Lonchura striata: one gene and its partner. The protein of the gene in region 1 binds, or shares a complex with, the protein of each later gene. Links are inferred from orthologs where the notes say so. Each region holds a gene or a part of one and is shown on either strand. Other genes may lie near its edges.

Region 1 (7,555 bases):
GCTCTTGAATTTATAAGGGGAATGGGGCTATATTTTTCTAGGAAATTGTGTTAATGTCTTCAGTGTAGTAAAAATTAACATTTCTTCTTTCTAGATTTTCACCCTCTTATTTGCATCCTCTTCTTTGCATTCCGCTGGGCCAGAAACACTTGGTACTGCCAGCTCCTCCAAGGATTAAAACGGGGAGTTTGAATCTGCAATTCAGAACTTTGTGTGGCCCCAAGGGCAGCTCAGAAAAGCTCCATGAAAGCAGCAGGGAACTCAGGCCCTGCAGAGCAGCTCCCTCACACAGAGCCTCTAAAGGCTTTTGCCCCTGCCTTCAGTACCCTCAAACTGCAGGGGAGAAAGCACTGAAACAATAGAGTCTGCAAAAGGAAATTAGAAATGAGAAAAAAAGCCAAGCTTCACCTGCTGAAGATAAAAAATATTGGACCTTCTTGCCAAGAATTCTGGCAAACCCAGCGCCTCTCCAAGCCCTTCCAGTGAAGCAGGATGACTTCTTGAGGGTGTGTGCACAGTAAGAAGTGCAGCATTTTCCTGCAAAGTCTGAGCAAAATCCCCTGCAGCTCTGCTGAGAGATGCCAGCTCCAGTCCTGGGTGCCAAGTGGACATGTCAGTGCAGGATTACACGGGCAGAGTCCAACAGAATTCATCTGTGTGGCACACCAGGGCATTTACACAGTTCTTTTACTTCCAGATCCACAACCAAGCATGTGATGCTGGGTGAGAAACCTCCTTGTCTCACCACATAGCTAAAAATAACCAAAAATAGCTTGTTTTGCATGAATGCAAGTCTCCATTCTGAAATAAAAAAATGTTCAGAAGAGTCCATCATGATGGTTCATATCTCAAAGTACCTCTCACCCCTCTGTCAGTGGTGCCAGTGGAGCATTTATCCATTTTCTATATTCTTCCACTGTCCTCTGCCTCTTGATTAATGTGCCCAATTTTCCCATTTCCCAATTACTCACCTGTCAATTTCTCTTGGGGTTCTGAAGGTCAGGATGACCCCAAGAGATCAAAAAGAGTCTTTGCTTCCCTTAGCCTGAGCAGCCAAAGAAGGAGCCTGGAGTGCTTCTGATTGCATTTTCAAGGTTGTTTATTTCTTCTTACCTAAATTCTCTTTCTCTCTGATCTGCCAAACTCTGCCTAGCAAGGAGGCCATAACATTTCTGCCTTAAGCCCTGGGCAGCTCCTACACTATATACTCAAAACTACATGTCTATATTTACAATTTCTTCACCATTTTCTATCATCTATGTTGGACAGTGTGTCACTATCCTTAACCAATAGAAAAGTGTCACCATCACACCAAGACACGGAGGGCAAGAGGAAGGAGAAGAAGGTTAGGACACACCCAAATTCCTCCATCTTGTACCCCATTGAACACCATATTTAAAGTCCCAAAATTCTACTTTTCCACACTGTGTTAATTCAAGCATGACACTACTAAAACCCTTGTGACTTGTCATTCCTCATCCAGAGTTGACAGTTTTTCATGGGCTGAAATCAAAGCCACAGATGTTTTTGATTTCATGGCAGGGTCCCTGAGACCCTTGCCAGGGTCTTGAGACAACCAGGGCAGCCAGAGGGATGTCCTGGACTCCAGCACTCACCAGGTACTAATATAAAGTAGTTAATGGTGTCCTTACAAGGGCTTTGACATGAAGGTGTTTGAATTCAGCCCTTCTTAAGTTTTCACTTTGCTTTTCATAGCAGCACGTTCCACTGGCAAACATTCCACAATGTAAACCTGGGACAAGAGACATCACCAGCGTGAGGACACTGTCAGTGCCTCACTGTGACTCCTGCACAGTGCCAAAAACCTTGTCTGGGTTAATGTTGCCAGCATTACACTGCATTAATGGAGATGTTACATTACATTCATTGCATTGCTGTTGTATAAAGCTGCACAATTCCAAGGCCAGCATGCAGCACACCCTCTTCCTTGCAGTGTATAAAAGCAAGCACTATTGAAGTTTGCTTTATAAAGAAAAATATCAAATGCTTTAATATTACTTTCATAAGGAAAATCTGTTTTTATTTTCTGTCTTGGTTGTAAAAATAAAATATTTCCATTCATATAGAGCCAGAGCAAGTCTTTGGTTGAATACATTCTTCTATCCTTATTGAGACAGATATGATATAGAACACAAATAAAGATTTGAGAAATAAACTGAAATATATTTTCCACTCTCTTTGTCCTCTCCATCTACAACACAGTCGTGGTCATAGCAACATTGGTCCATGGGTTATCTGGTTTTCTTCTGCTTCTATTCTTACAGGTTTTCAGCATCTGAGCTCAGCAGGATCAGAAAGGATTGAGAACAAGTGGAAGTAGGCACAGGTGGGTCTGGCACATTCACACTTTGAGGTGACCTGGTGTGTTTGCACAGCCCATTGCTTTCCTCTCACAGAGATCACAGTGGGTGTCACTGCCCTTTTGGCTTTTTAGTAAATAACTCAAACCTCTCTGGTTTCCTTTTCTGTAAGACTGAGTTCAAGCTGAACAGACTCAATCTTCCACTTCAGTTTCTTTAGAGAGGTTAATGTGCAAGAAGAAAAATGAAGCCAATTTGGTAGCTACTTCAGAAGGGTTTACTCACCTCAGGTATGCTGCAGGGTGGAGTGGAATTATGGAATTTACCGGGGAAGAAAAAGGAGAAATGGAAAGAAATAAAGTACTAAGAAAGTATGTGGGGAAAAAAAAAATAAAACAAAACAAAAGACATAAATAAAACAAAAAACAAATTGAAAGTGAAGCAGAGGTACAGAAAATGTTTAGTGCTGTACAAATTTTCAAATACTTGTCTTCTGCTGTGCTCTGAAAGAGTTAATCCTGGTGTCAGCCAGGAACTCAACTAATGATTCCTCTCCTACTTCTTACATCAGCAGCAGATCAAGATCAAATTTAACATTGTTAAAATGCAGGGAATAGCTATAAACTGAATCCTTAATGAAAGGAGCAATGGGTCAAAAGGGCACATTTGTTATTCAATAATCCAGTAAAACTTTTCAGTCTGCTGAACAAAATACCTCCATGCAATGCTGAAAATAAATGAGCTGGGTCTTTCTGATGCAGTTTTTATGTGAGATAATTTCAGCAGGTCTGAAAGTCATCACAAGAGACTTGCTTCTGCCTTTTAGTATGTTTGTTGTAGTACCTTCCACGCCTTTCACATTTCAAATGATTTCTCAGTGATTCCCAGGCTCCACACTTTGAATGTGCCTCAAAGGAACCAGCCCCTGGTCCTTCACACGCTGCTGCTATTTTGGAGGCAGTCTGTGCTTATTGGAACAATCTTTTTCTTTTCATTGAGAGATCAAGCTAAAGGGTCAAACAGAGAAAAGAGATACACACACAAATAGCAGATTCAAGGAGTTCCTTGCCAAAGGATGTCGGGGATGTAAAAGGTTTACATGGCTTCAAGGAGGGGACAGGGCAGGTACTCAAATGAGAGCTAATGAGAGGCTCTGGGCAGACAAATCACACACCAAGCTGACAAAAATCCCATAAATGAGCCCTCAGACCTTACACCTCTTCAATTTCAAACAGCTGAATCTCAGAAAATTTTATCTACAGACTTGGGACCTTTTTTGTTTTAGAGAAATTCAGGAGGTAATCAAGCATTCATTCAGAGCTAAATGATCTATTTTGGCACAGCCAGGGTTCTTGCAGGAGACCCTTTTTTTTTGGCTCAGAAAGTGTGTTTGCAGAATGCTTGTCATTCAAGAATAAATAAGAGTTTATAGAAGTTTATGCCACATAGGCAATAAATATGGAATAATATGCTGTACAGAAATATTCCCAAAACAAGGCTCTCTAAGAATATAGGATCAAATTCCAGCATACTTGGGAAGTGAGAAAATATTTTGATGTCAATAAGAATTGCAATTAAAATCTTTAGTCAGACCTCAGGAGAAAAACAATTGCAGTGTTTAAAAAAAGGCTGAAGCATTATAATTCCACAGAAATGGCTACAGAAATTATTTGGCTTTCTACTGATCAAAATCTGTCTCCAAGTACTTGCTGCCATAGACAACAGAAAATAAAAATTAGCAGAGATTTGAACAACAAAATCATGCCAGAATCTTTTGTTTAGTTGTGTTTTGCTTGTGGCTCATAACTAGGATGTAGCACTATAATAATTTTGCAAAAGCTTTTTGGACTGAGTTTTGGGGGTGTTTCTGGTCTGCTTTCCCACCCTCTGACATAAACAAATAACCTGCATCTGGTTTTGTGTCCCATTTTTCAGATTGGCAGCTCCCTAAATCCCACTTTAGTGACTCTGTAAATGCATCAGCTGCGGGAGCTGATGCAAGTGCCTGGAACCTCTTTCCCTACACTATAATCTAACGCACGTAGCGAGCCAATGAATATGTGGGAAAGGAGGGGCTTTCTGGCTGAGGGGCTCTGCCAGGGAAACAGCTGTGGAGCAGCACAACCTTACCCAGAGCCAGGCAAACACACTCATTCACATCCTCAGTGGCTCTGTGCTTCCAGGGCTGGCAAGGCAGCTGCCCCCTCCTCCTCTCTCTGCAAGAAGTGAGCAAACTTGCACGGAGAAACAGAAAGGACAGCAAACCTCAGCTGTGAGACATTTCAACAGATCCAGCAATGGCCTGGGTCAGTAATTTCTCCTGGTTAAACCACCTTGCTCTACATGAAGAACGTCTCAGGAGGTACTTAAACAGCACTGAGGATTATTTAACCTTCCTGTGCGGGCCCAGACGGAGCCACCTGTTCCTGCCCATGGCTTTGGTGTACTCGGTGATCTTCGTTGTCGGGGTGGTGGGGAACTTCTTGGTTTGCCTCGTCATCCTCAAGCACCGCAGCATGAAGACCCCGACCAACTATTACCTGTTCAGCCTGGCGGTCTCAGACCTGCTGGTGCTGCTTTTCGGGATGCCCCTGGAGGTCTACGAGATGTGGAGCAACTACCCCTTCCTGCTGGGGCCCGTGGGCTGCTACCTGAAGACGGCTCTCTTGGAGACCGTGTGCTTCGCCTCCATCCTGAGTGTGACCACGCTGAGCGTGGAGCGCTACGTGGCCGTCCTGCACCCGCTGCGTGCCAAGCTGGCCAGCACGCGCCGCCGCGCCCTCAGGACCATCCTGGCGCTCTGGCTGCTCTCCGTGCTCTTCGCCCTGCCCAACACGGGCACCCACGGCATCGTGCTGCAGCGCTTCCCCAACGGCACGCTGGTGCCCGGCTCCGCCACCTGCACCGTGGTCATGCCCCTGTGGATCTACAATTGTATTGTGCAGATCACTTCTTTGCTCTTCTATGTGCTGCCCATGGGGGTGATAAGTGTGCTGTACTATCTGATGGGGCTAAGAGTAAGTCCTGCTCCAACTGTGCTCAGTGTTTCCTTGGCTCATTCTTGTGTGTTTGTGTCTATATGTGGCTTTTGAGTGACTTTTGCACCTTCGTTGTTGCCCATGTTTTCCCCTCAAAACAGCAAAAGTGTTTCTCAAACCTCTGAAAATAGTAGATCCAACTTCTTCTCTGGTGCAATCCTGTTCTGAGATTAGTATAGCTATGTTGAGGAATAATTTACCCCAATCTTCTTATAAAAACTTACCATCACTGCTGCTCACATCTGAATGTTAATGAAACACCCAAGTCTGTAGATTGTTTCCAGCCTCCCAGAGATTTACACCTTTGCAGTAGGGACTAGAAAGAAATGGACCAAAAGGAAAATGTGAAAAGAATAAAAAGAAGATGGCTAGTGATTGAATCTTGTGTACTATTTGTTTTCTCTTTCCTTGTAGAATTTCCATTGCATTACTTTCTTCTTTTCCTTCCCTGGAGCTGGTGGTTATATTCACTTGTTAAAACTCACAAAGCTCGTAAACTGAAATGTTAGCTTATTGCTGCAGCTAGAAAATTCATCAATTTATATAACTACAGCCTTGTTTTACCAGGCTACCTTAGAGCTTATATTCATTCTCTCTTCAGAAATTGAAACTACTTTTAACAAGTATCCATCACGTCAATATGTGGAAAAACAATCAGGATCACAGTGTTATAAAACTACATAGCACAACACTGAAATGTACTGCTAATCACAGTGACTTGATGACCACTTTCTTCTCATAAGTTACAGACATTTAGACAATATAAATCCCATTTTATCACACTGAATGTAACTTAAAGTTTACAAAGATGTGTCTGATCCCTTAGCAAGAAAGGAAGACAAATGAACTTATTAAATAATATGCAAGAAACTCAACTAAATCTCTGCTGGTGTACATATCATTTTTACTTACCCAGGGAAAAAAACATGGATTATCTGCCAGAAATCCACAGAACAGAGCAGATCCTCAAGGCAGTGAATGGGTTAAACTATCCCCAGTGTCTGGAGGCTGTTGAGGGGTCTTTTGCAGAGTTTCAATTAATATTTTGCAACATTAGACCCGAAGGGAATGAAAGGTGATGAAAATAGAGTTGTTACAAAAAGAAAAAGAGAAATCCCTGAGTTTATAAAAGGAAGACTTGAAGGTTGCAATAACTTCTATTTGCAGCAGCAGATATTCCTATACCCCATCCCAGAAGAGAAGCTCAGTACCAGATGAGGGCTGATCCCCCAGGACTTCTGCAAATTTCCACATTTGTTCAAGCTGTCTTTCCTAAAGACAGGAATGTTCACTGTTTGTGCCTCTGTTTTTCTGTACATCCAGCTCAGACTTCCAAATTTTAACAGAATCCATCCTGGCTAGATCTGCATTATCTCCAAGCTGCACTGGCAAGATTTCATTTCTTCAACAGAAGTGATAGAAGAATGATGAATATATATAATTTTCCAAGAGGAGACACTTTTCATCTGCTCACAGAGGAGGAAATTAATGAGGTTTTAGCAGCACCCTGCAGTCACCTGAGTGCCATGTATCACTCACAGAACTCAGTGGAAAAGATCAGGGTTGATCCAAAGGTTGTGCAACAGCTTAAATTCAGCAAACAGAGGCATGACCTTTTCATATCCAGGCTTTGTAGAAAGGGCATTTGTTCACCATTTTCTCTCTCAAGCTCTGCCAGCACTGGACACTCTCAGGATGCAATGCAGATGGGGACAGGGACCTGCCAAGCTGCTGTGAGAAGGCAGCACACATGGGTCATAGGGTACCTGAGTCAATTTATAGTTCAATCCCTTGAAAAAATGTAAAAACACATTTGTCTTTTTCACTGGGAAATGGTTGATTACCTCATTATCTACTTGGGTATAATTTTAAGGCTTGGTGGTTTAATATTGCAATGTTGTGGTCAATTGATCAGTTGATCACCAGTGTAAAGAAGAGGACATTGCTCATTGCACTGTAAACTCATTAGGCTCAATTGTGGAAGCTTCCTGCTGCCTCTTTCATGGGGTTCCCATCACAGATACCTTTAGGATAAATTCCTAAATCATCCAGGCTCTTCAAACCCAGTTCAGCTGTTGAGGTGTGGGTTACAACCCACAGCCAAAGAGCTGAGGAGGGAGGGGAGAGGGATGAGATGAGAACATGGGGCAGTAGCTGCTCATGGAAGTTCATCCGTGGGGCACTGATTGAGGTGGG
Region 2 (7,571 bases), on another chromosome or scaffold:
TACTCATCTCCTTTCACTCTCTATTTTCTTGCTTAAGGTCTTTTCAGTTAATAAAACCTCTAGATTCTGAAAGCAATATTGAGGAGAGAAAAGTTGAGATGAGAGTATCTTGAAGATTAGCCTTTTTCAAAAAAAAATTGTGCGACTATACTTCTTACATAGTAATTATAGTAGATAATTATTCCTTTCTTTTGAACAGAATTTTTTTTTTCTACAATCATCAGGACTTCATAAAACAATAATCTCTTCTGTTTCTAGTCCCATGCTTGTATAGAATAAATAATGAATGCTGGTGGAAAATATGGAAAATGGTGTGAGTTTGGTGGAGAAAGGTTTATCATCTGTTTATGGCCTGTTCTCATTCATTTATGACCTGTTCCACTTTTAAAACAAACTCAAGTCCATAAAAATTGCACATTTATTCTGGGTATTCACAGGTAGTCATAATTTTTGAAAGATTAGCATGTTTTTTCTGAATTTAGTTACTGTCATCAGATTTTCTTTAGTCATTAAAGGTTTCAGTCATCTCTCTTTTACACCAGGAATTTTTTATGCAAAATATTCTGTAACTCTTGAAGAGAGCTCTGAACATTTGCTGTAATCAGTCCCATCACTGTTCCCTAGTGGAGTCTCTCAGCACAGTGGCTGGGTTTTCTGTCCTCATTTCCAGTAGTTCAGGCAAGATCTAGTTCATTAGAGGGTCATTTATGTTTTACTTATTCATAAAGGAAGAGCTGAGGCATCATCTTAGATAAAGTATAAAAGGAATTTTTTGAGAAAATACAGGGTCTATCATGCCCAATATGACTTGGGTTTTGTTGTTTGCGTTCTATTTGTAGGGAGACATCCCTAAAGACTACTACTGACTGATTGTCTCTTTGTGTTAGGCCAACACTGTAATAAAAGCTCATTTAGAGATGCTTATTCTTCAATTGAGACTCCAGTGACTTTTCTTTATGGATCTTTTTCTGTTCTGACACAAACTCTCTATTCATTATTACCAATAAAAGGAGAAAATACCTTGAAGGAGAACAGTATCTGAGCAGCCATTAATTAGTTTTTGAGACTTTCTTACACAAAATTTAATTCTCTAGAACATAAAAAAGGCAATTTGCCCATTGTACAGAAGGACTAACAAGCTATTAATGGACCCATCTGAAGTTGTGAGAAGCATCCTCATGCTTGCACACAGCGAGCCATTTCAAGCACTCTCCAGTAAGTTTGAAATACATTGATGAAGAAAATGCAGTATGGATAAAAGCACTCAGAGTGCTTGTGTTCAGATGTAGGAAGAATGATTTCTCACCATTTTTATTAAATTAAAGTCATAGAAAAACCAGCATGCATTGACCTCTTCAGAGGCAGCACGTGCATGCATGCAGCAAGGGGATTCAGTGACATACCTCCTGACCCTGCCTTTGCACAAACAGGGAAGATGATGTTTTCACATACTCAGCTCTTTGATTTCCTTTCCACTAGCCATAATTAGCATTTATTCAAACAACATTAGAATGAGCATAAATATTTCAAAGAAGCTAATTACAGCATCCAAAACATCCTCTAAGCTATTCGTTTAATGAGGATATGTTTTGTTCCCGCAATAGTGTAACATTAATTTCATCAAGCTATTAAACAAAACAAAACCAGATACAATAAAGAAAGATGTATTTTTTCTCCTGTTTACAAGAATGCTTACTTGAATTTTGGTGAGTTCCTTGAATAAAGGTGACTGTCATAAACCATACAAGCTTCCTATAAACTCAGATTCAAGCTTGGTGATGTTGCTCTGTCAAAATTTGCAGCAATTTCAGTAGAAATATTATTTTGGTATAATATATAGTCTGACCTTAGTGCAAATATACATTTTTGTTAGACGTTATATTGTTTTTTCTAATATATTACAAGGAGGATTATAACTATTCCCAAATCAGATTACCTTACCCACGTATCAGGAAATGCAATTTTTTTCTTTTAATGGTAATTGGAGGACCAGAAGTTTTCTACCTGGAAATTTTTTTCCATAATCTTCAAAATCTCCTGATATGTTTTTGTGCAAGTGGTCTCAGCAAAATTTTTCAGTTTCCAGTATTAAAACACACTATGCAAAAATGCAGCTTCTGGGCTAATCAAAAACCTTTCACCTGACACTAGTTTAATTCAAGATCTTTTCTTCAGTATTCTTAAAACACTCTGCACCATTCAACAGGTGCAGAATATTTACAGGTATCCTGTACTCTAATCATAATAGATTGTAATTTATTTTACTTCACCATCTATTAAATATTTAACAAGACTGTAATAATTAAAATGCATAACAAATTAAATCCTTCCTTAGGCTAAAGCTTGGGACACTGATTCATGCAGCTGAGTCAAGATAGATTGGGGAGATATCATTCAGGACTGATGAATTTATGATCATTTTATCAAATAAATATGTTCTGCTTTTATTAATGAAAAACCAGAACTCAATGCAATACCTCAATTAAAACTATTAAAAAAAAAAACCCTTTTAATTACGTAGCTATAAATACAACCATATATGCAAAATACAGGCTTCTTCAGTTTATATGCTGCTCTGATAACTGGCTCTCCATTGACACGGGGATTAGCTCTGTCCACAGACATATAAAGGAAAGCTTTGCTACTGAATCTGAGAGAGAAGATGCTTCTATTACTAAAAGAATTTTACAGCATCTTATCATGCTGCTTGGCAATGCTTTTGCAATTCTGATGGCCTATCAAAGTATCCAGGGTGGCAGAGCCCACTTTTTTCACATACATCTGATAAAGGTGAAGGAAAAGAGCAGAGACCAATGCTATGGCTATAAATCAAAGTTTTGCTTTGTTTCACAGTAACCACAAGTGCTCTTGTCAGGCAGATTTACCCCACCACATACTATTTAGCCCCCCAGTCAAAACCCACTGAAATGGTAAAAAAGAACTGCAAGTTGTTACAGAAAATGACAACCTCTACTATTGCGCTATTGCCTCATTGCTGGACTGTGATGTACTAATTTCCTTAGGAAACAATGCAACCAAGAGAAAAAAATATGAATGTAAAAAGAAGGGAAAACAAATCATAAAGATAGACTCTAAACTGGGATCTCCCATCCGGGAACCATCTCTGTAGCATCGGAGCAGCGCCTCAGCTGCGCAGGACCTTCCTGGAGCACATGGGAGAAAGCAGAGACAGTCAGACATGTGCCACACTTCCAAGTCAGACCTTGCTGCTGGGCTCGGTGTGAGGAACAGGTCAGCACCAGCATGAGCATCTTGCTCACTCTTGGCAGCGGTGATCATCACTTGTTGGATCTGACAGCAGGAGGAACGGCAGACTTGGGTAACCACTCTGGTAAGCCAGACCTTGCTGAGCTTCAGAGATGGCTGGACTAAACTGCCCGAGTGCCTTAACAGATCTGGAGACTGTGTACTTTTGACTGTCATCGATTGTCAGTCATTCTTTCATTATCTACAGGCACAAATAACAATTGGACCAAGGTCCGCAGCTGCATTATAAGTAAAATACCTTGCTAAGCACAGTATTAAGATTTTAACAGCTAAATATTACCATATGCTGAGTTCTGTTTCATGGTGTGGCATTGTGTGTATTGAAGGCATAGGAAAAGTCTGGAGGCAGTCACACCTTTGAAGCCGGGGAGTCTCCAGAAAATGTAGTGACCAGTCAGCAGAGACAGAGGGGTGCCCTTCCCCAGAGCCACCGACAGCTTCTCCCACATGCAAGCTTCACGAAGCTTACTGCTAAGTTCAGCCAGCTGGGGGCAAATCAGCTAGAAGGCTCGATTTACCCGCTTTAAATCACGCCTCTTCTCCCCCGCGCATCGGGCTGGGTCGGTGTCTGAGCACCCTTCGCCGCCCCGTCTCATCGCTCGGAACGCCCAGGGCAGTGCGGGAGCGCTACCTGCCGCGCCAGCCGCCGCGGCTCCCGCCGGGCTCCGGGGGACTAGCCGCGGCTTTCTTTGTTGAGGAGGGGCTTTGCTAAAGGGCGTGGAGCCTGGCCAGCGCCTCGGCTCCGTGCCGAGCAGGGACCCCGCGGCACGGCGCGGGCTCCAGCGGCGCAGCGGCGGGGCGGAGCGGGCTGAGTCACCCGGCGCCGGCCCCGGGGGGAGCGGGCAGCCCTCCGAGCCGGGCTGGGGCTGGGCCACGTGTCGGGGGGATTTAAAAAGTTGGGGCAGGGAGCGAGGCCATGCCCAGAAGAGCGGCTGGCAGAGCGGCGGCGGCGGGAGCTCGGCGGACATGGGACCCCTGTGCCACCCTCGGCCCGCCGCGGCCGCCCCCGGGCGCAGCCCGCGGCAGGCAGCGGACGGCGCGGCGCTGCCCGGCTCCCCGCTGCTGCTCCTCTGCCTTCTCCTCGCTTCCTCCGTTTCTGCTTGCAGAGGTGAGGCTCGTCCCGCTCGCAATCCCGTCCTGGCCGCCAGCTCTGCCCATTATCGGGGAGCAGGGTGCCCGCAGCCTGCCAGCCTTGCGGGGCAGCCCCTGGGCGCTGCTCCGGGGATGGGTCTGGGGGCTTCTTCCCGTGTCCCGGCAGGGTTACCCTGTCCTGGCAAAACACTCCAGCACCTTGGGAAACGAGGGCTTTTGTTGAAAGAGATGTAATTTTAAGTATTATTTACTCTGATTTTAAAAGGTAAGAAAAGACATGGGACAACATGTGTCACAAAATTGCAGGACAAATTAGGACCCTCTGTCACTCATTCCAACCTATAAATATCGCTATATTTATCAGGTGAGGAATCCTGAAAGTTGCTATTTTTGTAGCAGGGGGCTCTTGTGAAACATCCAACGGACTGTTTAACAAACCATACTCTCTTTTCGACTCTATTTTCCCACCTCAGATAGATTAGCTGCTTACAGCTTGTAAAGTAATGTAACAAAACGCCGTGCAAGGACCATTTCTATTTTGTTTGTATTTCATTTGTGTGATTTGCTTTAGTTGTGAGGGTTTTTTTCCTGCTTTGTTGTTTTTTGTTTTTTGTTTTTTTGTTTTTTTGTTTTTTGTTTTTTTGTTTTTTGTTTTTTTTTAATATCAATAACCAAAGAAATCTAATGGCAGCATACTTAATATGTTAAAAAGAAGTTCGGAAGATGTGGAAGAGCAGAGGGAAGGAAGAGGAGCACAATGGAGGGCAGTGGCACAGAGTATTTCACTGTTCTCACACAAATGATTGCAGGAGCTTGTTTAGGGATGCAGTGGAGGGAAGAGAAAATGTAAGAAGATGTGAGTCCCAGGCTGCGCATCTGGCATTCTACTGCCTTGAAATAAACTGAATTTTTTAAAGATGGCAGAATTGAAGGATAGGACAGCAAATGTGCTGTTGACAATGTTGATTTTGTAGAAAGATTTCCTCCTCTGTGTTCCCTTTAAATAGGATTCTTTTCTTCAATAGCACATGCTTCTCTTCTCTTTTCTTCTCTTCTCTTCTCTTCTCTTCTCTTCTCTTCTCTTCTCTTCTCTTCTCTTCTCTTCTCTTCTCTTCTCTTCTCTTCTCTTCTTTCTCTTCTCTTTCTTGCCTTCTTTCCCCCCCCCCCCCCCCAATTCTCCCTATGGTTTTGTGCTGTATATTGAAAAAAAACCTTAATATTTCACTGTGTGTGCTGATGTGGAAATGAATGAAGTCCTGTAGGTACTGCAGCCCTGTTCTGAATGGGGTGATGAAGGAACACTGTTCAGTCTTTGGAGGAACACAGTCCTAGGTTCACAAAATAGATGGGATTTCTTATGAAATAAAAATTTCTGAATATGTAGAGTAGGGTAAAGGAAAGTGAGGAGTGGGAAATAGTTTATCTTCTCTGTCCAGAAGTTTATGCTACAGGCCAAAAAAATGGAGAAAGTTATAATACTCAGGCTTTCCTGCTTGTTGCCCTAAGGTTTACTAATGCATGCAAATGAATTTCTTTAGGTCTCCCTGAAAATCCTTGGGAGCCAGTCAATTGCAGAATTGGTGTTCAGAGATAGGCAGGCAATGCTCTGATGGGGAAGGTGTGCTAATTTGAAAAGATTGCCCTGTCCCACTCTTTTAACTAGGATACTAATCTCAGCTAGTGCTCCAGTTTGAATACACTAATTTAAGAGCAGAAGACAACGTAAGACAACTGTAGCACCTTTAATTTATTTGGCATTTTTCTTTGAAATGAAACAAATAATTGGAAATCAGTTTCCTTGTTATGTGAACAACTCAGAGATTTTTTTAAAAATAACATTTCTATATAGTGTGAAATTAAGATCCCCTCTAATTCTTTCTTGGGGCAAAGCAAGCATCCATAAAAATTGGTTGCCTCAAGTCTGTGCCAGTACAAAAATGTGGTTTTGAAATTCATCCCATTCCATTAATGTCTGGAACTAACTACTGTTGTGATTATTGTTATCAGGGGTAAATGTAAAACAAATAACATGATGGCATTTATTCCCTGCTCCCTGGACACTCTAGCTAGGTCTAGAGGTCCAGCACCAGTTTTCCTCTCATGGGAGTTACAGCACATCCCCTCACTGACATCACTGCGTGGTGTGTGACAGACTCACAATTTGGTGATGATCATTTCTGTTATTTACAGAGACTCTAACAGTACACTGCTATCAGAAATACACTGCCAGGTAAAATAGCAATGTGGTAAGAGGGACATTCTGGACATTGAGCTGGAAGGGATACTGGGACAGTGACTTCCATGTCTACAGCCTGGGTGGGTAGAGATAGAGAAAGGAGATCCCCCAAGTTAAGCACAGCTTCACTGCATTTTTATGCAATTAAGAACACATTTAATGTACTAAGGGACAAGCTTTTCCACATCGTATATTCAAGACAGAGGAAACGAATCCAGTTACAGATGAACTGTCTATCACCTTGTCAAAACATGTTCATATCATGGGCACTATTTATATGCAATCGTACATTACGTAGTGCATGTTCAATTCTGCAGCTGTAGCATACAAGAAGGCAAGAAGTAGAGTCCAGATCTTCAACTCACAGTGCATGCACTGGAGGTGAGCAGAGCTCTCAGAAAGCTCAAGGTAGTAGGAACTGGAATGTGATTTTCTGAGTAGGTCTCAGTGAGGCCTAAGTAACCTCCACACAGTTTATTGTTATTATGTGAATGCCCATATCTGCTGTGAATTGTGAAAAAGCATCCTGTTGTGTTGCTGAAATAGAGCAGGCAAAAGCCACAGAGCACCCAGGTCACAGACTTCCTTGGGCCAAGCAGCTCTCGGCCTCTGCAGTTAATAATTGTGCTAGGTACATCTGATGTGGGACACACAAATGACCTTTGCTGTACAGCATTGCTAAGCACAGTTTGTGCTTCCAGGTGCACCAATGCCATCCCAAGCACTCACATCAGATGAGGATATGCAGCTGTTGAAAGAGGTAAGCATCATCTGCCATGTGGTATCCTCACATTTCTTCTCTGCCCATGCTTGCTACAGTCCCACCTCTCTATCCAGTCTTTCTCTTGCACGGAGTTCAGCTGTATTTTCTTCCACTACGTCTTCCTGTATGTCTCCTATCCTGGCATCAGCAAAGAGGTGAAATATTTATTTTTCCAGGTATTCTGAACAGTTG

What was found. Proteins that work in one complex are often made in the same cells at the same time.
Region 2: the proteins of NMUR2 (region 1) and NMU are in contact, whole or in part, in a cryo-EM structure (PDB 7XK8), measured with the Homo sapiens proteins. The link is inferred for Lonchura striata from reciprocal best matches to the Homo sapiens genes NMUR2 and NMU. Residues at the interface, in NP_064552.3 of Homo sapiens: Ser42, His43, Gly98, Glu102, Glu105, Met106, Trp107, Arg108, Asn109, Tyr110, Pro111, Thr123, Phe126, Glu127, Asn181, His185, Pro199, Ser201, Thr203, Cys204, Val206, Tyr213, Phe284, Arg288, Phe291, Glu295, Trp297, Ser298, Glu299, Ala302; in NP_006672.1 of Homo sapiens: Glu146, Phe152, Ala153, Ser154, Gln155, Gly158, Tyr159, Phe160, Leu161, Phe162, Arg163, Pro164, Arg165, Asn166.

Annotation. Positions count from the first base shown.
Region 1 is NC_134617.1:5,838,220-5,845,774, forward strand, and holds the start of NMUR2 (neuromedin-U receptor 2), read left to right. Parts: upstream 1-4,522; 5' UTR 4,523-4,618; coding exon 4,619-5,338; intron 5,339-7,555. UniProt on the Homo sapiens protein: Receptor for the neuromedin-U and neuromedin-S neuropeptides.
Region 2 is NC_134606.1:27,417,336-27,424,906, reverse strand, and holds the start of NMU (neuromedin-U), read left to right. Parts: upstream 1-4,239; 5' UTR 4,240-4,254; coding exon 4,255-4,396; intron 4,397-7,317; coding exon 7,318-7,376; intron 7,377-7,571.